Anolis sagrei: one gene and its partners. The protein of the gene in region 2 binds, or shares a complex with, the protein of the main gene of each other region. Links are inferred from orthologs where the notes say so. Each region holds a gene or a part of one and is shown on either strand. Other genes may lie near its edges. The genes, in order: RRS1, HEATR3 and RPF2.

What was found.
Region 1: HEATR3 (region 2) and RRS1 share a complex: the UniProt entries of both Homo sapiens proteins name them as parts of the hexameric 5S RNP precursor complex. The link is inferred for Anolis sagrei from reciprocal best matches to the Homo sapiens genes HEATR3 and RRS1.
Region 3: HEATR3 (region 2) and RPF2 share a complex: the UniProt entries of both Homo sapiens proteins name them as parts of the hexameric 5S RNP precursor complex. The link is inferred for Anolis sagrei from reciprocal best matches to the Homo sapiens genes HEATR3 and RPF2.

Annotation. Positions count from the first base shown.
Region 1 is NC_090024.1:45,535,347-45,542,422, forward strand, and holds the start of RRS1 (ribosome biogenesis regulatory protein homolog), read right to left. Parts: upstream 3,022-7,076; 5' UTR 2,961-3,021; coding exon 1,878-2,960; 3' UTR 1-1,877. UniProt on the Homo sapiens protein: Involved in ribosomal large subunit assembly. May regulate the localization of the 5S RNP/5S ribonucleoprotein particle to the nucleolus.
Region 2 is NC_090028.1:31,600,316-31,607,828, forward strand, and holds the start of HEATR3 (HEAT repeat-containing protein 3), read left to right. Parts: upstream 1-4,474; 5' UTR 4,475-4,577; coding exon 4,578-4,721; intron 4,722-6,531; coding exon 6,532-6,704; intron 6,705-7,513. UniProt on the Homo sapiens protein: Plays a role in ribosome biogenesis and in nuclear import of the 60S ribosomal protein L5/large ribosomal subunit protein uL18 (RPL5). Required for proper erythrocyte maturation.
Region 3 is NC_090021.1:93,052,346-93,059,601, forward strand, and holds the start of RPF2 (ribosome production factor 2 homolog), read right to left. Parts: upstream 3,039-7,256; 5' UTR 2,994-3,038; coding exon of another isoform or gene 2,960-2,993; coding exon 2,937-2,959; intron 330-2,936; coding exon 197-329; intron 1-196. UniProt on the Homo sapiens protein: Involved in ribosomal large subunit assembly. May regulate the localization of the 5S RNP/5S ribonucleoprotein particle to the nucleolus.

The DNA of each region.
Region 1 (7,076 bases), on a different chromosome or scaffold from region 2:
TCTTGAGTGTTTTGGACTTCGATTTCCACCATTCCTCGCAGCCTCAGGGAGAAAAGGAGTCTGGGGTTGTTAGGAATGGTGGGAATCAAAGTCCAAAACACTCAAGAGGGCCCAAGCTTGCCCATGCCTGTCTTACAGGTTCAAGACCGCAAGAAGGCACATCACAACATCACGGGACACTGTCTTTATTATGTTCCGAAAACCGAAAGCCACTGTTTTCTTATTTTGGGAGCAAAAGTACATGTGCCAGCTTCCACTTCTTCCTCCTGGCCTTCCTTCCTCCTATATAGGAAGCAAACTTCCTCCTGAATTATGATAACTGGACCAAGGATCTGCTACTTTGGAGGCATCATTGTGACTCATTGGGAAATAAAAGTAGGACTTCAGGGGAAAGACAAAAGCTATAGGTGCATCTACACCAGGCCTGGGGAAACTGGGAATCCTGGGAGTTTGGTGACTCTATGGAAGGCATAGGCTAACTTGGGTCCTCTGTTTTGGTTTAAGTGGCTGAGCGGGAAAAGGAAGGAGCCTGAGGCTGTTAGGAATGGTGGGAGTCAAAGTCCAAAACACACGAAGGACCCAAGTTTGCCCAGGAATAGTGGAAGCTGAAGTTCAAAACACCTGGAAGTTTGCCCATGGCTGTGCTATAGGTTCAGGACTGCAAGAAGGCACATCACAACATCCCAGGACACTGGCATGGACAAACTTGAGTCCTCCAAATTTTGGCTGGAGGAAGGGGCCTAAGGTTGTTAGAAATGGTGGGAGTTGAAGTCCAAAACCCCTGGAGGGTCCACGTTTGCCCAGAAATGGTGGGAGCTGAAGTCCAAAACACCCGGAAGTTCGCCCATGCCTATTCTACAGGTTCAAGACTGCAAGAAGGTGCATCACAACATCCCAGGACATTGGCATGGGCAAACTTGGGTCCTCCGGGTGTTTTGGCTTAAGCAACTGAGAGGGGAAAGAAAGGGGCCTAAGGCTGTTAGGGATGGTGGGAGTCGAAGTCCAAAACACATGGAGGACCCAAGTTTGCTCAAGAATGGTGGGAGCTGAAGTCCAAAACACCTGGAAGTTTGCCCATGGCTGTGCTATAGGTTCAGGACTGCAAGAAGGCACATCACAACATCCCAGGACACTGGCATGGACAAACTTGACTCTTCCAAATTTTGGTTGGAGGAAGGGGCCTAAGGCTGTTAGGAATGGTGGGAGTTGAAGTTCAAAACCCCTGGAGGGTCCACGTTTGCCCAGGAATGGTGGGAGCTGAAGTCCAAAACACCTGGGACTTTGCCCATACCCATTCTACAGGTTCAAGACTGCAAGAAGGTGCATCATAACATCCCAAGACAGTGGCATGGGCAAACTTGGGTCCTCCAGGTGTTTGGGCTTAATGACTGAGAGGGAAAAGGAAGGGGCCTAAGGCTGTTAGGAATTGTGGGAGTCGAAGTCCAAAACACATGGAGGACCCAAGTTTGCTCAAAAATGGTGGCCGCTGAAATCTAAAACACCTGGAAGTTTCCCCATTCCTATCCAACAGGTTCAAGACTGCAAGAAGGTAAATCACAACATCCCAGGACACTGGCATGGGCAAACTTGGATCCTCCAGGTGTTTGGGCTTAAGCGACTAAGAGGGAAAAAGGAAGGGGCCTAAGGCTGTTAGGAATGGTGGGAGTCGAAGTCCAAAACACATGGAGGACCCAAGTTTGCTCAAGAATGGTAGGTGCTTAAGTCGAAAACACCTGAAAGTTTGCCCATGCCTATTCAACAGGTTCAAGACTGCAAGGAGGTGAATCACAACATCCCAGGACACTGTCTTTATTGTGGTCAGAAAACCCAAGGCCACTGTTTTCCTATTTTGAGAGCAAAAGTACATGTGCGGGCTTTCACTTCTTCCTCCTGGCCTTCCCACCGCCGCCTCCTCCTCCTCTTCCTGCGGCCTTCTTGCCCTTGGGGCCCCGAGGCCTCTGCTGCTGCTTGCTGGCCCTCTTCCCGCGCTGGCCCTTCTTCTTCCCCTTCCCTCCTCCTCGGGCCTTGGCCTCCTCGTCCTCCTCCCGGAGCTGCTTCCCGACAGCGCGGGCGATGTTAATGAGGGGCTTCTTGCTGCCCAGGCTTTTGGCCAGCTCCAGGTGGCGGGCCTTCTCTGCTTGGAGGTCCCCGAGCAGGGGCTGGAAGTGCCTCTTCCTCCCGGGGCTGCGCTGAGGCGCGTGGGGGTCCTCGCGGGGCAGGCGGGGCTGGAAGCGGCCCTTGGAGGCGGTGGCGGCGCGGGCGAGGGTGGCGGCGCGGGCGAGCTCGGCCTTGTCCTGCCTGCCCGTGGGGTGCATCTCCGCCTTGTGGGCGCGGGCCAGGTTGCGGAGGCGGTTGAGCTCGTTGCGGGCCACGCGCTCGCGCTTCTCGCTCCTGCTGCGCGCGTAGGGGTCCTCGGAAGGGTCAGCCGAGTCGGGCACCTCCATCATCCAGGGCTCCTTGCCCCCCGCGCGCTGGTAGCCCCACCGCCGGCGCCACTCCTTGGCCTGCTCGTCCCAGACCAGAGAGCCGCGCTTCTTCCTGTTGGGCCGGATCCCCTTGAGGCGGGCGAACTGCTCCCACCGCGTGAGGGGCTTGGCCTTGGGCAGGGGCTTCTCGCGGGGCAGGCGCGTGGCGGGCTCCGGCAGGCGCGCCACCACGGGGCCCGCGCCGCCTTCCGACCGCTCCGAGGGCAGCGCCCACAGGTGGGCCGCCAGCAGCTGCGCGTTGTCGCGCGCCAGGCACCGCAGGGCCGCCTCGCGCTCAGACTCCGCGGCTTTCCCCGACGCCACGGCGCGCGGGGCAGGGTTCCTGTCCAGCGCCAGCAGGTTGCCCGCGTCGAACTCCAGCTCCAGCTCCTTCTGCACCGTCACGCCCCGACGCCGATGCTCGTCCGCCTCGCGCTCCTCCGCGCGCGCCAGCAGATCCTCCACGGACACCGTCGCCGCGCCGGCAGCCGCCATCTTGGATCTCCCTCTCCGCACGCTAGGAGCTATCAGGCTCTACTTCCGGTGCGTCACCGGATGTACCTTCTCAAGCGAGATTCCCCCAATGCACAGCCCACTTTGTAAAAACTACAGTTCCCAGCATGCATCTCTCTGCTAGGGTAGGTTCTCACGGGAGGGGGATGTTGTGGAGCACTGAGATTATGTTTGCTGCACCAGCCCGTTATATATTTATTTATTTGCGGCATTTATATTTATTATCTACATACACACATTCAATATATTATATTATTAGCATAGCACAATATCAGTATTATACGTATATTACTATTTTGTACAATACCATTATATTGTAATATTATTAGTAATATTACATGTAATATTAAATATATATTATATTATTGTATTATTATTAGTTTTGTATTGCATCACATAATATTATAAATATTATACACATATACAATTTGTTTATTTATTTATTTGGGGTGCTTCTACCCCGCCCTTCTCAACCCCCTAGGGGGGACTCAGGGCGGCTTACACAAGGCACAATTTGATGCCTAACAATTACAACATACAATACAATATACAACACACAAATTTACCATATAAAATCACAGTTATAACTAATTAAAACAATTGACAGTATACTAGCAGCAATAAAAACATCTTGTGGTCAATGTTCACCAAATCCAAGTCCGTAAACCATTTAGCATCGTCATTGTCCTTTCCTACTCTGGTCATTATTGGTTGTCTTTGTCCATTTGCCAGCTTACCTGAAGGCCTGGTCCCACATCCAGGTTTTTAGCTTCCTTCTGAAGGAGAGGAGGGATGTTGATGTCCTAATTTCCCCGGGGAGTGCATTCCACAGGCGAGGGGCCACCACCGAGAAGGCCCTGTCCCTCGTCCCCACCAGTCTTGCTTGTGATAAAGGTGGGGCCGAGAGCAGGGCCTCCTCAGCAGATCTTAACTCCGAGGTGGGACGTAGAAGGAGATATGTTTGGACAGGTACGCTGGGCCGGAGCCGTAAAGGGTTTTGTAGGTCAAAAGCAGCACTTTGAATTGTGCTCGGAACTGGATCGGCAGCCAGTGGAGCTGACAGAGCAGGGGGGTGGTGTGCTCCCTGTATGACGCTCCGGTGAGTAATCTGGCCACCCCCCGTTGGACTAATTGAAGTTTCTGAACAGTCTTCAAAGGCAACCCCACGTAGAGTGCGTTGCAGTAATCTAATTGGGATGTGGACCACTGTGGCCAGATCCGGCTTCCCAAGGTACGGGCGCAACTGGCGCACAAGTTTTAATTGTGCAAAAGCTCTCCCGACCACCGCTGAGACCTGGGGTTCCAGGCTCAGCGATGAGTCCAGGATCACTCCCAAGCTGCGAACCTGCGTCTTCAGGGGGAATGTAACCCCGTCTAACACAGGCTGTAACCCTATGCCCTGTTCGGCCTTGAATGTCTTCAAAAAGAGGCTGGACAGCTACCTGCAAGAGATCCATGTGGTTGGACCTGATGGCCCATATGGTTCCTCCTAACTATTATTCCTTGATTGAATCAATTCACGGCTGGTGGATTTCTTCATTGTACTATAATATAATAATGATATGCTAATAATATATCCCTCCTCCCTCTGACTTCCTCTCACATATTTATACATGGCTATCATGTCTCCTCTCAGCCTTCTCTTCTTCAGGCTAAACATGCCCAGCTCTTTAAGCCGCCCCTCATAGGGCTTGTTCTCCAGACCCTTGATCATTTTAGTCGCCCTCCTCTGGACACATTCCAGCTTGTCAACATCTCCCTTCAATTGTAGTGCCCAGAACTGGACACAGTATTCCAAGTGTGCTCTGACCAAGGCACAACAGAGGGATAGCATGACTTCCCTGGATCTAGACACTATACTCCTATGGATGCAGGTCAAAATCCCGTTGGCTTTTTGTCCCACCGCAAACGTTTCGTCTTAAAGAGCTGTGCATGTTTAATATATTGTGGAAACGTCAGGAGAGAATGCTTCTGGAATATGGCCATACAGCCCGAAAAACTTACACCAATCCACTGGGCATATTTAATCTACAGAAGGGAAGGCCGAGAGGAAACATGAGGGCCATGTATCAAGATGTGAGAGGAAGTCATAGGGAGGAGGAAGCAGGCGTGTTTTTTGCTGCTCTGGAGACTAGTGCCCCTTCCACACAGCTGAGTAAAAATCCCACACTATCCACTTTGAACTGGGATATATGGTAGTGTGGACTCAGATAACCCAGTTCAAAGCAGATCGGTAAAGGTAAAAGTTTTCCCTGACATTGTCTAGTCGTGCCAGGCTCTGGAGGTTGGTGCTAATTTCCATGTCTAAGCTGAAGAGCCAGTGTTGCCCATAAACACCTCCAAGGTCATGTGGCCAGCATGACTGCATGGAGTTCCATTACCTTCCCACTGGAGCAGTACCTATTTGCATGTTTTCGAACTGCTAGGTTGGCAGAAGCTGGGGCTAACAGCGGGAGCTCATCCCATTCCCTGGATTTGAACCAGCAACCTTTTGGTCAGCAAGTTCAGCAGCTCAGTGGTTTAATCCACTGCTCCACCAGGGGCGCCACAAAGCAGATATTGTAGGTTATTCTGTGTTGATATTCTGTGTTATATTGCTGTGTGGAAGGACCCTAGGACACGGAACAATGGCTCCAAACTACAGGAAAGGAGATTCCACCTGAACATGAGGAAGAACTTCCTAACTGTGAGAGCTGTTCAGAAGTGGAACTTTCTGCTCCAGAGTGTGGTAGAATCTCTTTCTTTGGGAGCTTTTAAGCAGAGGCTGGATGGTTATCTGTCAGGAGTTATTTGAATGCGATTTTCCTGCTTCTTGGCAGGGGTTGGACTGGATGGCCCATGAGGTCTCTTCCAACTATGATTCTATTTTATCTAGTCCATGAGGTGTTTGGGATTTTGACTCCCAGAAGTCACAGCTGCCTTTGGCCAATGTCAGAGTTTCTGGGAGTGGAAGTCCCAATAGTCTGGATAGAGCAGAGTTTGGGAAACCCTGGAACCTCAATCAGAGGCTGATGCCGGATGAGAAACTCCCTCCTGGGCACACAGAAGACTGGGCAGTTTGGCAGGTGCTGAACAGGCTGTGGTCTGGCACCACGAGATGCAGAGCTAACCTTTAGAAATGGGGCTTCAAAGCTGAGTCCACAACATATGACATGCAAACCACAGACCACCTACTACAATGCAGTCTGAGCCCTGCCATATGCACAACATAGGACCTTCTTACAGTGACACCAGAGGCACTCAAAGTGTCCAGCTTCTGGTCAAAGGAAATTTAGCATAATGCCAAGTTTTAAACTTTGTTAGCAGTTTTTTAAAATAAATTATAAGTATAACACTGATTAACATTAATACAGATGGATCACTGTGGCTGAGTGCTTAGGGAAACCTGGGAGTTGTACTTTTACAAGCTCTTCTGCCTTCTTTGATGTATGCTGTGGATTACAGTTTGATAACTGCCGTGACTCAGTTCTGAAGAATCCTGACCAAGAGTGTTATGCCTTACCAAACTACAACTCCCAGTATTCCCATAGCATCGAGCCCTGGCACTTTAAAATTATGTCAACCTTCATTAATTCTGCAGTATAAAAGCAACACTTGTGGTTCAATTTTTTTTAAAAAGTTTCTTTGTGATGACAGTTTACATTTTTGAAAAAGTTTCCTTTGTGTTTATAGTTTGTTTTATTTTTTGGTTTTGAAAGAAAAATAAGTTATGTGACTTTATCATCTGGATTGACATGTGAATGCCTATGGTACTTGGAATTTTGACTATTATAATTCCAGGTTCTAAAAAACCTTTGACCACTCAAATGAAATGTTTTGGGCAACACTCAGAATTGATAAGAAACACTCTTTATTTTTCTAGATGAAGTACTGTAGTGTTCTAGATGAAGTACTGTACCCAGAAACCATCACATTTGCAGTGTATTTGGAGGATGCTATCACAGCATTTATATACATTGAAGCTGTATATACTACATATATAACATTTAGTAAATACAATATTTTAAAGAACCTGGTTTCCCCTAAAAGTCAAAGCTGAAGTGTGACTGCATGGACTGCGTTTTTTCTGTCAATCCAACTCTTTTGTAAATGTGATTT
Region 2 (7,513 bases):
CGCAGTCCAAGGCACTCTCAGAACTTTCCTCCAGCACCACAGTTCAAAAGCATCGATCTTCCTTCGCTCAGCCTTCCCTAAGGTCCAGCTCTCACATCCGTAGGTGACTACAGGGAATACCATGGCTTTGACTAGGCGGATCTTTGTTGCCAGTCTGATGTCTCTACTCTTTACTATTTTATCGAGATTGGACATTGCTCTCCTCCCAAGAAGTAAGCGTCTTCTGATTTCCTGGCCACAGTCTGCATCTGCAGTAATCTTTGCACCTAGAAATACAAAGTCTGTCACGGCCTCCACGGTTTCTCCCTCTATTTCCCAGTTGTCAATCATTCTTGTTGCCATAATCTTGGTTTTTTTGATGTTTAGCTGCAACCCGGCTTTTGCGCTTTCTTCTTTCACCTTGATTAGAAGGTTCCTCAGCTCCTCCTCACTTTCGGCCATCAGAGTGGTGTCATCTGCATATCTGAGGTTGTTAATGTTTCTTCCAGCAATTTTCACCCCAGCTTTGCATTCATCCAGCCCCGCACATCGCATGATGTGTTCTGCATACAAGTTAAAAAGGTTGGGTGAGAGGATGCAGCCTTGCCGTACGCCTTTCCCAATCTTGAACCAGTCTGTTGTTCCGTGGTCAGTTCTGACTGTTGCTACTTGGTCCTTGTACAGATTCCTCAGGAGAGAGACAAGGTGGCTTGGTATGCCCATCCCCCTAAGAACTTGCCACAATTTATTATGATCCACACAGTCAAAGGCTTTAGAATAGTCAATGAAGCAGAAGTAGATGTTTTTCTGAAACTCCCTGCTTTTCTCCATTATCCAGCGGATATTGGCAATTTGGTCTCTCGTTCCTCTACCTTTTCTAAACCCAGCCTGAACATCTGGCAACTCTCGCTCCATGTATTGCTGGAGTCTTCCTTGCAGGATCTTGAGCATTACCTTACTGGCATGAGAAATAAGGGCCACTGTACGGAAGTTGGAGCAGTCTTTTGCATTTCCCTTTTTTGGTATGGGGATATAAGTTGATTTTTTCCAGTCTGATGGCCATTCTTGTGTTTTCCATATTTGCTGGCAAATGGCATGCATCACCTTGACAGCATCATCTTTTAAGATTTTAAACAGTTCAGCTGGGATCCCGTCGTCTCCTGCTGCCTTGTTGTTAGCAATGCTTCTTAAGGCCCATTCCACCTCACTCCTCAGGATGTCTGGTTCTAATTCATTCACCACACCGTCAAAACTATCCTCAATATTATTATCCTTCCTATACAGATCTTCTGTATAGTCTCGCCACCTTCTCTTGATCTCTTCAGCTTCTGTTAGGTCCCTGCCATCTTTGTTTCTTATCACACCAATTTTTGTCTGAAATTTACCTCCAATGTTTCTAATTTTCTGGAAGAGGTCTCTTGTCCTTCCTATTCTGTTGTCTTCTTCCACTTCCATGCATTGCTTATTTAAAAATAGTTCCTTATCTCTTCTGGCTAACCTCTGGAATTGCGTATTTAACTGGGCATATCTCCCCTTATCCCTGTTTCCTTTTGCTTTCCTCCTTTCTTGGGCTACTTCCAGTGTCTCAGCAGACAACCATTTTGCCTTCTTGGTTTTCTTTTTCTTTGGAACGTACTTTGTTGCCGCCTCCTGAACAATGTCTCGGACTTCTGTCCATAGTTCTTCTGGGACTCTGTTTACTAAATCTAGTCCTTCAAATCTGTTCTTCACTTCCACTGTATATTTGCTAGGAATGTTAGTGAGATCATATCTAACTGGTCTGTGTATTTTCCCTGATCTCTTTAGTTTTATTCTAAATTGGGCAATAAGAAGTTCGTGATCCGAGCTACAGTCAGCCCCAGGTCTTGTTTTCACCGACTGGATGGATGTCCGCCACCTTTGGCTGCAAAGGATGTAGTCAATCTGATTTCGGTGTTGACCATCTGGTGAGGTCCATGTATAAAGCCGTCTTTTAGGTTGTTGGAAGAGAGTATTCGTTATACACAGCGAGTTTTCCTGGCAAAATTCTATCAGCCTGCGTCCCGCTTCATTTTGTTCTCCCAGACCATGCTTGCCTGTGATCCCAGTTGTCATTTGACTTCCCACCTTGGCATTCCAGTCTCCTGTAATGAAAATAATGTCTCTTTTTGGTGTATTATCCAGTAGGTCCTGCAGATCCTCATAGAACTGATCTACTTCTGCTTCTTCAGCAGCTGTGGTTGGGGCGTATATTTGGATCACTGTAATGTTGAAAGGCTTTCCTTGCACTCGAATTGAGATCATTCTGTCATTTTTTGGGTTGTATCCAAGCACCGCTTTAGCGAATTTCTTATTAATTATGAAGGCTACTCCATTTCTTCGATGTTCCTCTTGTCCGCAGTAGTAGATCTGGTGGTCATCTGATGTGAAGTGGCCCATTCCAGTCCATTTCAGTTCGCTGACCCCCAGAATGTCTATCTTTAGTCTTGACATCTCACCAATAACAACATCCAATTTGCCCTGGCTCATAGATCTTACATTCCAGGTTCCTATGGTGTGTTGATCTTTAGAGCATCGGATTCGTCGTTCACCTCCAGTACCGTCGGCCGCTAGCCTTCCTTTCGGCTTTGAGCTAGCTGCGTCATCACATCTGGGGCTAGTTGAACTTATCCTCTGCTCCTCCCCAGTAGCATTTTGGCCATCTTCCGACCTGGGAGTCCCATCTTCCAATGGCATACCGACATATCTCTGGTTGTACTGGTCCATTTAGTTTTCTTGGCAAGGATACTGGAGTGGTTTGCCATTGCCTTCCCCAGGGATCACGCTTGGTCTGACCTCTCTGCCACAACCGTCCCGTCTTGGGTGTCCCTTCACGGTTTCGCTCATGACATCATTGAGGTGCTCAAGCTCCAGCGCCCCGACAAGGCGGTGATCCTTTGCTGGATCCTTTGCTTTGATTATAGGTAAAGGTAAAGGTAGTCCCCTGACATTAAGTCCAGTCATGTCTGACTCTGGGGTGTGGTGCTCATCTCCATTTCTAAGCCGAAGAGCCAGCGTTGTCCATAGACACCTCCAAGGTCATGTGGCCGGCATGACTGCATGGAGCGCCGTTACCTTCCCGCCGGAGCGGTACCTATTGATCTACTCACATTTGCATGTTTTCGAACTTTGATTATAGGCGCACTATAAATCCCAGTAACTACAGCTCCCAAATGACAAAATAAAACCCCCTCCAACCCTACCAGTATTCAAATTTGGGCATATTGGGTATCTGTGCCGAATTTGGTCCAGTGAATGAAAACACATCCTGCATTTCAGATATTTACATCGCAGTTCACAACAGTAGCAAAATGACAGTTATGTAGTAGCAAGGAAAATAATGTTATTGTTGGGGGTCACCACAACATGAGGAACTGTATTAAGGGGTCACGGCATTAGGAAGGCTGAGAAACACTGGTCTAATCTATCTATCTTTCTATCTTATCTATCTCTCTGTCTCATCTTTCTGTCTTATGTATATATCTTATCTATCTTTCTATGTTATCTATCTTACCTATCTACCTACCTACCTGTCTACCTATCTACCCACTTATCTACCCACCTATATATCTATCTATCTACCTACCTACCTACCTACCTACCTAATCTATCTACCTATCTACCTACCCATCTACCTACCTATCTACCTACCTGTCCACCTATCTACCTACCTATATACATATCCACCTACCTACCTACCTACCTACCTGTCCACCTACCTACCTACCTATATACATATCCACCTACCTACCTATCCACCTATCTACCTACCTATCTACCCACCTATATATCTAACTACCTATCTACCTACCTATCTTATCTATCTACCTACCTACCCATCTACCTACCTATTTACCTACCCATCTACCTACCTATCCATCTATCTACCCACCTATATATCTATCTACCTACCTATCTTATCTACCTACCTATCTACCTACCCATCTACCTACCTATACACCTATCTACCCATCTATCTGTCTGTCTGCCTGTCTGTCTATCTATCTATCTACCTAGCTATCTACCTACCTATCCACCTATCTACCCACCTATACATCTATCCACCTACCTATCTTATCTACCTACCTATCTACCTACCCATCTACCTACCTATACACCTATCTACCTATCTACCCATCTATCTGTCTGTCTGTCTGTCTATCTATCTATCTATCTATCTATCTACCTAGCTATCTACCTACCTATCTACCCACCTGTGTATCTATCTACCTATCTATCTACCTGGGAGTTGCAGTCCAATAACAGGAAATTGGAAATCTGCATGGATTGGGATGCTCTCAAACAAATCCAAGAAGAATGCTTGCAGTTTCAAAGCAGTGCATTTGGAGCCTTCTCCTCCTCCCCTCAAGGGTCTGGTGTAGGGGATGCTGGGAGCTGTAGTCCGGAAGAGAAGGGAGTGTATTTGCAGCCTCTGGGCAGAGCTGTGCTGGGCCTTTGCGTGGCGCATGCGCAGGAGCCGCACACGTGGGAACTGGGGAAGAGGAGGAGGAGGAGGAGGGGGGAAGAGGCCGGCCTGGTCCCCGCTTTCCGCCTCCTTCCTGGGGTCTCCCTCCGGGATCATGGGCAAAAGCAAGGCCAGGCGGTTCCGGCAGGCCCCCTACAGCCCCGCGGTGGGGAAGATGGGCCAGGAGAAGGGCCAGGAGAAGGAGGAAGGAGAGGAGGAGGAGGAAGGCGGGTCCCCAGCCGAGGAGCTGCTGGAGAAAGTAAGCTGCAAAGAAAGGATGGCCACAGGGATACTGCAGGGTCCAGCCAGCTCTGGGAATCCTGCTATGGTTAGGGAGAAGGGAATGGTGGTTTCCCCCTGACACTGCCATATAATCCAGATTATCAAAGCAGATGGTCCACATCTGCTTTGAACTGAATCATATGAATCTACACTGCTATATCATCCAGATGATCAAAGCAAATGATTCATATCTGCTTTGAAATGAATTATATGAGTCTACAGTGCCATATAATCAAGGTTATCCAAGCAGACGATTCACATCTGCTTTAAACTGGATCATATATGTCTACAGTGCCATATAATCCAGATTATCAAAGCAAACAATTCACATCTGTTTTGAACTGGATTATAGGAGTCTACATTGCCAAATAATCCAGATTATCAAAGCAGATCATCCATATCTGCTTTAAACTGGATTATAGGAGTCTACACTGCCATATAATCCAGATTATCAAAGCAGACTATTCACATCTGCTTTGAACTGGATCATATGAGTCTACACAGCCATTATCAAAGCAGACTATTCACATCCGCTTTGAACGAGATTATATGAGTCTACACTGCCATATGATCCAGATTATCAAGGCAGACAATTCACATCTGCTTTGAATTGGATTATATGAGTCTACACTTCCATATAATGGTGCAGAGGCCCCTTCTGCACTGCTGTATGATCCAGATTATCAAACAGATGATTCATATCTGCTTTGAACTGGATTATAGAATTCTACACTGCCATATACTCCAGATTATCAAAGCGGGCGTTCCACATCTGCTTTAAACTGTATCATATAAGTGTACACTGCCGTATAATCCAGATTATCAAAGCAGATCGTCCATATCAGCTTTAAACTGGATCATATGAGTCTACACTGCCATATAATCCAGATTATCAAAGCAGATCATCCACATATGCTTTAAACTGGGTCATATGAGTCTACACTGCCATATAATCCAGATTATCAAAGCAGATCATCCACATCTGCTTTGCACTGGATTATATGAATCTACACTGCTATATAATCCAGAGGCCCCTTCTACACTGCCATATGATCCAGATTATCAAACAGATGGTTCGTATCTGCTTTGAACTCGATTATAGGATTCTACACTGCCGTATAATCCAGATTATTAAAGCAGATGATCCACGTCTGCTTTGAACTGGATTATAGGAGTTTACACTGCCATAGAATCCTGTTCAAAGCAGGTAATCTGGATTATATATGGTAGTGTAGAAAGGGTCTGGGGTTGCAGGTAGAAATCCCCAGGTTAATCCCTAGCAGTTCAAGGGCCCCATCTACACTACAAACCAGATTCTCCGGTTTGAACTGGATTATCTAGCAGTTTAGAAGTATATTATGATCTGGATTATACAGCAGTGTTGAGCCTAGGCTGCATTGGAAAATCCTCGTATCTGAAAGCTTTAAGCAGGCATGGGCAAACTTCGGCCCTCCTGGTGTTTTGGACTTCAACTCCCACAATTCCTGTTAGGAATTGTGGGAGTTGAAGTCCAAAACACCGGGAGGGCCGAAGTTTAATCGAACCTGATGTTTTTGGGTTGGTTTATTGCCTAAAATGTGTAGATTTGTGCATGTAGGTGCCAATCAGGCCACTAAAGAGTAGATATTGTCAAACCGGGGGCCACCGCAGAGAAGGTCCTTGCCATCTCCTCCAACACACAACGTCCTACAGCTAAGTCCCATAAGTCATTGGCGAAGGGATCTTGCTACTTTGGGTTACCTGGCACCTGCATCTCTCAAACCGTGCCCCTTCTTTCCTCTTTGTAGCTGCAGCACCCCAGCGCTGACGTTCGGGAATTTGCTTGCGCCAGCATTTCCAAGCTCTTGCAGCAGAAACAGACAATCCCGGCTTTTGTGCAGAGGGACGTGGTCCGGTGTTTGGGGCCCATGCTGCTCGATCAGAGCCTGGCGGTTCGAGAGACGGCGACGGGAGCGCTTCGGTGAGTAGTATAACATCTAAGGCAAAATCCTAGAGTTGGAAGGGGTCCCCAAAGGCCATCCAGCCCAACCCCATTCTATAAGGAAGGGACACCCAATAAAAGCACTCCCGACAGATAGCCACGCAGCCTCTGTTTAGAAACAGCCAGAGCAATATACTTTGGAAGAGTCCATACCATTCCTAGCAGCTCCAGGAAACGTGTCCTTCCCCATTGTTTATGGCTTGGGGTCCTTTCTTACCACCCAGTTTATGGGATTTGCACTTAGATGCCCCTTCTGCATGGCCATATAAAATCCAGATTGTATGTTTTGAACTGGATTAGATAATATAATATGTAGACTCATATAATCCAGTTCAAAACAGATATCATGGATTATCCGCTTTGATAATTTGGATTATATGGCAGTGTAGAAGGGACCCAAGTCTCCTTCTAGAGAGAATCATAATAACAATAACAACAACTTATTGTCATAATAATAATAACAACAACAACTGTTGACAGGCATAATAGCTGATCAAATCCAGGATTACTTGGAGGAAAATAACATAGAATCATAGAATCAAAGAGTTGGAAGAGACCTCATGGGCCATCCAGTCCAACCCCCTGCCAAGAAACAGGAATATTGCATTCAAATCACCCCCGACAGATGGCCATCCAGCCTCTGTTTAAAAGCTTCCAAAGAAGGAGCCTCCACCACACTCCGGGGCAGAGAGTTCCACTGCTGAACGGCTCTCACAGTCAGGAAGTTCTTCCTCATGTTCAGATGGAATCTCCTCTCTTGTAGTTTGAAGCCATTGTTCTGCGTCCTA
Region 3 (7,256 bases), on a different chromosome or scaffold from region 2:
TTTCACTGTTTCAAAATTTTTCGTGACCCCAGCAATTAGCTAAGGGGACGCTATTTAAGGTTGGGACCCACAGTCCCAACCTTAAGAAACAGTGCTCTAGGGGGCTAAAGTTTGAGAATCAGTACTTTAAATCACCTTTCTATGTAACACAACAGAACATAGCCCCAGCTCCACAAATATTCCCAAACATACTTACAATGTCTTTTAGTACTTCGGTGATGGTTGTATTTGCATTTCCACCTTTTATGAGCATAGCATTCTTGGTATTTTCTGTCAGCTTTGGCTCCCTTTTTTCAAGAAACCTTTTTGCCCTCTTGGTTTTGGGTTTTCTGCCATGAGAATATTATTGTCACAATGTTAACTTTCACCAAGTATTTGAATGTACTTACAGTCAGTCCTTGAGTTACAAACATTGAGAACAGAGGTGAGACAACAGGAAGTGGAAGAAATCTACCCCTCGGAAGGAAATCCACTCCTGGAAGAGTTGTCATGGGGAAAAGGTGTCTCCACTGAAGCTTTCTCACCAATCCTTGTTTCCAAAACAAACCACATTTTTCAAAATCCAATTATCACAGGGACAAAAAGTGAGATGAAAACTTTCCAACAGTAGCAAGACAGCAAAGCAAACACCACAGGGGTATTAACCCTTCCCTATCCTTTCCAAAACTTAAAAAAATGGCTGGAATTACACTTTTTAAAAATTGCTTGTTCTGATTTAGACACAGATTCAACTTAAGAACAAACCTACAGAACCTGTCTTGTTTGTAACCTGGGGACTGCCTGTTTTCATTTACTTCTGTATTGACTGCTCCCACGGGAAGGTAACAGTGCTCCATGCAGTCATGCTGACCACATGACCTTGGAGGTGTCTACAGACAATGCCGGCTCTTCGGCTTAGAAATGGAGATGAGCATCAACCCCCAGAGTCGGACACGACTGCCCTTAATGTCAAGGGAAAACCTTTATCTTTACCTATTGACCAGTTTTTCTCCTAATCGACACCAAAGGCAGTTTGCAACCTGACTGACATTTTGGCTAATGTTCCTTGTAGATGTGTTTGTCCCTTCCAGTTACCTTCATCATGGTTATTTTCACAAAAATATAACTATTTTTCATATAACTATTCCAAAAACGCTGGTTTTGGGGTGGCTCACAAAACAAATTCATCCCTCGGTCAACAGCTGGCATACTAAAGGCGATAGATTTTGGAAGTTAAGCAGGGCTCAGCCTTGGATGGGAGACCACCGAAGACTGCTGTAGGGCTGTGTTTCAGAGGAAGGGATATTCTTCTGAATATTCTGCCTAAGAAAACCCCATGAAATGAATGGGGCTTCCACAAGTGGATAAGCAACTTGAAAGCAAGCACATATCTGGATGTATGTATATGTTGTGGTTGTTCATTTGTTCAGTCACTTCCAACTCTTCGTGACCTCATGGACCTCATGGTTAAACAGAGGCTGGATGGCCATCTGTCAGGGGTGATTTGAATACAATATTCCTGCTTCTTGGCAGGGGGTTGGACTGGATGGCCCATGAGGTCTCTTCCAACTCTTTGATTCTATGACCAGCCCACGCCAGAGCTCCCTGTCAGCTGTCACCACCCCCAGCTCCTTCAAGGTCAAGCTAGTCACTTCAAGGACCCCATTCATCCATCTTGCCCTTGGTTGGCCCCTCTTCCTTTTTCCTTCCATTTTCCCCAGTATCAATGTCTTCTCTAAGCTTTCCTGACTTCTCATGATGTGGCCAAAGTACTTCATCTTTGTCTCTAATATCCTTCCCTCCAATGAGCAGTAGGGGTTTATTTCCTGAAGTATGGACTGGTTGGATCTTCTTGCGGTCCAAGGCACTCTCAGAACTTTCCTCCAGCACCACAGTTCAAAAGCATCTGTCTTCCTTCGCTCAGCCTTCCCTAAGGTCCAGCTCTCACATCCATAGGTGACTACGGTGAATATCATTGCTTTACCTATGCGGATCTTTGTTGCCAGTGTGATGTCTCTACTCTTTACTATTTTATCGAGATTAGTCATTGCTCTCCTCCCAAGAAATAAGTGTCTTCTGATTTCCTGGCTGCAGTCTGCGTCTGCAGTAATCTTTCCAACTAGAAATACAATGTCTGTCACTGCCTCCACGTTTTCTCCTTCCATTTGCCAGTTATCAATCAATCTGGTTGCCACAATCTTGTTTTTTTTTATGTTTAACTGCAACCCAGCTTTTGCGCTTTCTTCTTTCACCTTGATTAGAAGGCTCCTCAGCTCCTCCTCGCTTTCGGCTATCAAAGTGGTATCATCTGCATATCTAAGGTTGTTAATGTTTCTTCCAGCAATTTTCACCCCAGCCTTGTATTTATCAACCCCTGCATATTGTATGATGTATTCTGCATACAAGTTGAATAGGTTGTGTGAGAGTATACAACTCTGCCGTACGCCTTTCCCAATCTTGAACCAGTCTGTTGTTCCAGGGTCAGTTCTTACTCTTGCTACTTGCTCCTTATACAGATTCCTCAGGAGAAAGACAAGGTGATTTGGGATGCCCATACCACCAAGAACTTGCCACAATTTATTATGACATACATATATCTCTGGAAGCAGACTCGAGTCCTATTTTAAAGACAGCATATAAATACATGAAATAACTAAATTTAAAGTAAACAAACAACCCAAAGTTCAATGTGACACAAGCACAGGCCTGGTCAAACTTGGGCCCTCTCTCCAGGTGTTTTGGACTCCAACTCCCATCATTCCTAACAGCCTCAGGCCCCTTCCTTTTCCCCCTCAGCCGCTTAAGCGGCTTAAGCCGCTTTTCCCCCTCAGCTTAAGCGGCTGAGGGGGAAAAGGAAGGGGCCTGAGGCTGTTAGGAATGATGGGAGTTGGAGTCCAAAACACCTGGAGAGAGGGCCCAAGTTTGACCAGGCCTACACAAGCAACGGTGAGACTCACTCTACTCGATCCAACGCCTCCATGCCTGAAACTTCTGCTGCCTCCACGTGGGACCATTAAACAAGTACTCCGGAAATGTAGCTTTTTGTGTCGTCACATCCGGAACGTGAACGTAGAGATAGGAAAATCTCAGCTCCTCGCAACTTGGATTCTAACCCCCTCCCCCCCTTTGCAACACATTTACACTCCTGCCTCTATATCGTAAACTGTATCCACATCCGAGAGTCCAATCTGGACTCCAAGAAAGGGTCTCTGTTAAGATAGCACCGCACTTCTGTTCAGCACAGTTCAGACTCTCCTTTTCCAAACAAGGCGGCATCCGAAAGGAAACCTGAACTATCGGTTGAAAATGGTCACTTTTTACCTCTAGAAAAAATGCGGGGCTATGGAGACGAACACGTCATAGAGTAGAGTTCGAAGTAGACTTATCAACACTTCCGGTATTGAATTGACATTCGAAGGATGCTTACAGTAAGCCTTCCATCAGGTATTAAGAGCATAATTACCTGGAAGCAAGTCCTGTTAAACTCCGTGGGACTTATCTCTTAAGTAGACATCTATGAAATTGGCTGGTAAACAATGTGACAGAAAACAAGAGAAAAGCACACAGCCCTATATCACAGAATATCAAGGCACAACATTGCACAATATCTGCTTTGAACTGGAATGTATGGCACTGTGGACTCTAATAATAATAATAATAATAATAATAATAATAATAATAATAATGGGGTTGTTGTAGGTTTTTCAGGCTATATGGCCATGGTCAAGCCATTATATGCTAATCAAGGTGTCAGTTAAAACAGTCACACCTAGCTCCAGCAGACAAGAGTCCTTTGTCCCACCCTGGTTATTCCACAGATATATAAACTCCCTTTTCCTAGTTCCAACAGACCTCACTACCTCTGAGGATGCTTGCCATAGATGCAGGCGAAACGTCAGGAGAGAATGTCTCTAGACCATGGCCATATAGCCCAAAAAGACCTACAACAACCCAATAATAATAATACTTTATTTATTCCCCGCTACCATCTCCCCAAGGGTCTCGGTGCGGCTTACATGAGGCCGAGCCCACAATACATCAATAATAAAAATAATAACAAGAAGTAATACAAAACAATAAAAATAATAACATTAGATAACATAGGGACATTCCACACAGCCATATATCCCAGAATATCAAAGTAGAAAATCCCACAATATCTGCTTTGAACTGGAATGTGTGGCAGTGTGGACTTAGATAACATAGGGCCCTTCCACACAGCCCTATATCCCAGAATATCAAAGCAGAAAATCCCACAATATCTCCTTTGAACTGGGTTATCTGAGTCCACACTCAGATCTTGTGGGATTTCCTGCCTTGATATTCTGCAGTGTAGGGCTGTGTGGAAGGACCCCAAATGAGGCCCCTTCTACAGTGCCATATACATTCAGATCATGTGCTTTGAACTGGATTATATGGGAATGTAGACTCAGGCTGGACCTTATATGCCAGAATCTGATCCCAGGGCCCTTTCACTCGACCATATAACCCGGAATATCAGGAAATCCCACAATATCTGTTTTGAACTGGGTTATCTAAGTCCACACTGCCATATTGATGCAGAGCACGATTTTAGGGGGCCCTGCCAAGGCAGAGGCTGGCAGGGCCGTAGCCAGAAAAAAAATTCGGGGGGGGGGGGGGAGGGGTTGAAACCTGCCTCCTAGCTCACACTGAAGCAAAGAGCACAGCAGAGGGCAGAGCAGCCTTCAATAGCCTACAGCCCCTGTCAACCACCTCCACCAAGTCTGGCCTCCTTAATGAGAGCATTCAACACCACCCCTCCCAAACTTGGTTGAAGACCCAGGAAATTTCCAGGTATATAAGTATCGTAAATAATAATAACAACAACAACAACAACAACAACAACAACAATTCTGCAATACCTGAGTCCTGAGATACTGGTCATAGTTCATGAAGAGGTCACCTTGCTTGATATTTTATACAGACATACATATAATAATTGGGGATGTAGGGCATATATAGAGTTCATAAAGGAAAAGGGGAGCATGCAGGATTGGGAAAAATTGGCTTTTTGTGACAGGGTTTCCAGTAAATATAGCAGTTACCTTTTGTTTTAAATATGTGAAATATAGGGCATAAATCTTGATTAAATGTACACACCATCTAACATGTTGTGGTTATTAGTCCTTTTGCAAATTTGCCAAAACTTAACTTTTATCATTCCAGCCTGATGTCCTTGGCAAAACTATGAATTCCCAAATTATAAACTATCTTTTATTGGGGGTGGGGGGCATATTCGACAACAATATAACCCAGTTCAGAGCAGGTACTGTGGGATTTTGTTCAACTGTGTGGAAGGGGCCTCAGAGCCTTTCCACACAGCCATATAACTCAGAATATCAAGGCAGAAAATTGCAAAATATCATCTTTGAACCGGAATGTGTGGCAGTGTGAACTTACATAACTCAGAGGCCTTAGATCATTTTCTTGTCCCAGACTATCTGGCAGCGACTCATATAATCCAGTTCAAATCAGATAACCTGGGACCAGATCCTGCAATATAGGGCAGTGTAGATCCAGCCCCACATAGTTCAGATCAAATAATCTTGATTATATGGCAGAGTAAATCCAGCCTCAGAGGGGCAGGGAGTTTGGGTGCTCTTAAATTAGGGGTGGTATCCATTCACAAGTGTTTTAGGGCACTTGGGACCCCCCAAAATAACAAAAACAGGTAGCAGGTAGTGTCACTGGCTTAAAGGCTAGAGAGTGCTCCATGTCTAAAAATGGTGTGTCACCAATGTGAATTTTTTAGAAAGTTCTGATGTAATGCCTGCTGAAATTACCTCCTCTTTACAATTCTTGGAGGTGTAGGGGCCATCTCAGTTTTCAGTGTGGCACCTTCAAGATCTTTCATACGGCATAACCTTTGATGTACCATGGCCCAATTAATTAGAGGCATGGATGGTAGTTTCAGTGGGCTTATTATGATATACTTGTGTGGTTGGGTACGGCATTTAGCCAAAACAGAAAAGGAAGAAGGACAAACAAACAGGTTTATCAAACTAACTGAGAGGTAATGTAAATCACTTTATTCATTTTTGTTCAGCTGCTTCATATTGGAGCCTGTCTTTGAAGAATTTGTTCAAGGACAGAGGGAAAAGGGAGAGAGATACTAGAAACAAAATATAGGATAAAAAACAAAATTGGTGGAGTGACTGTATTTATTAATTAACTCATCCAGCATGTTTTAGAAAATTCTGAAACTATTTTGTCTTGGGCATACTATAAAGACAAAACAGCAGTTAAAAATAGGTAAGTATGGGAACATTGTTAAGAATCATGGTAGTTCCAGTCTATAACTTCTCAAGTTGCACTCCTGCACTAAAGTAACTTCAGCCTTGTTGGACTAGTCAATGTTAGAAGCCTGTTGGTAACGTCAAAGAATGTACATAACTGTGGGATAAGTCAAAACCCTTCAGTCCTATGAGATGTTGTTTTTAATATATATACTTTTTGTGTTAGCTATTTTGCTAACCTGAAGGGTAGAAAAACAAGGACCAAATGCATGTAAATTAACGGACAGCTGGGAAGCCAGCAGAGTCCTGACTGCTTGAACTCAACAGCTTAGATCTTAAGAACAATTGTGGTATATCCTTTCCTGTTGTGTTGAAAAGGGGCAAAACACAGAAGAAAAGGGCAATGTTTCCTATTGCATAACCCTGCACCTTAGTTTCATCTCATTTCAGGATAGTCTAAATGACAACTGGACAGAGTAAAAGTCCAAAGGCCAATTTTCAGCCCCCATGGTCTGTTGTGGTTCACATAACTTCCAAACAGTGTGTATGTGAGAAAAAGATGGAAGTCATCCACTCTGAATTCCAATCTTTGGGCACCTATCGCTCGCCTTTTCCTCTTATCCTTAGGATCTCCCCATAGATGTGGTGGCTGGCCTTCAGGATGACCACTATATTGGGGTTCAATGTAGTAATGCTTGACTGAATCCTCCTTATCAATATTAAGTGAAAACATATAGAGTAGAAAATATAAAGTTCTATAACAGATAATTATGCTGATCCCACACAGTGTATTAATATATCACTTAAAAATGTGTCTCTGGACTTCATCCACGTTTTAAGCTCCCAAGAGCTGTATTCAGAATGTTTGATTTCCCTTTTCCCAACAGACACCACATAACTCTTTAATAAACACGCCTCTGAGTTCTATATTTTCTCCTATCCCAGCATTTTCATAAAGTGTGATTGTCTAGCTCTACCTGTCTTCTTGCTTTGCACATTTTCCTGTTTTATGTTGAAAGA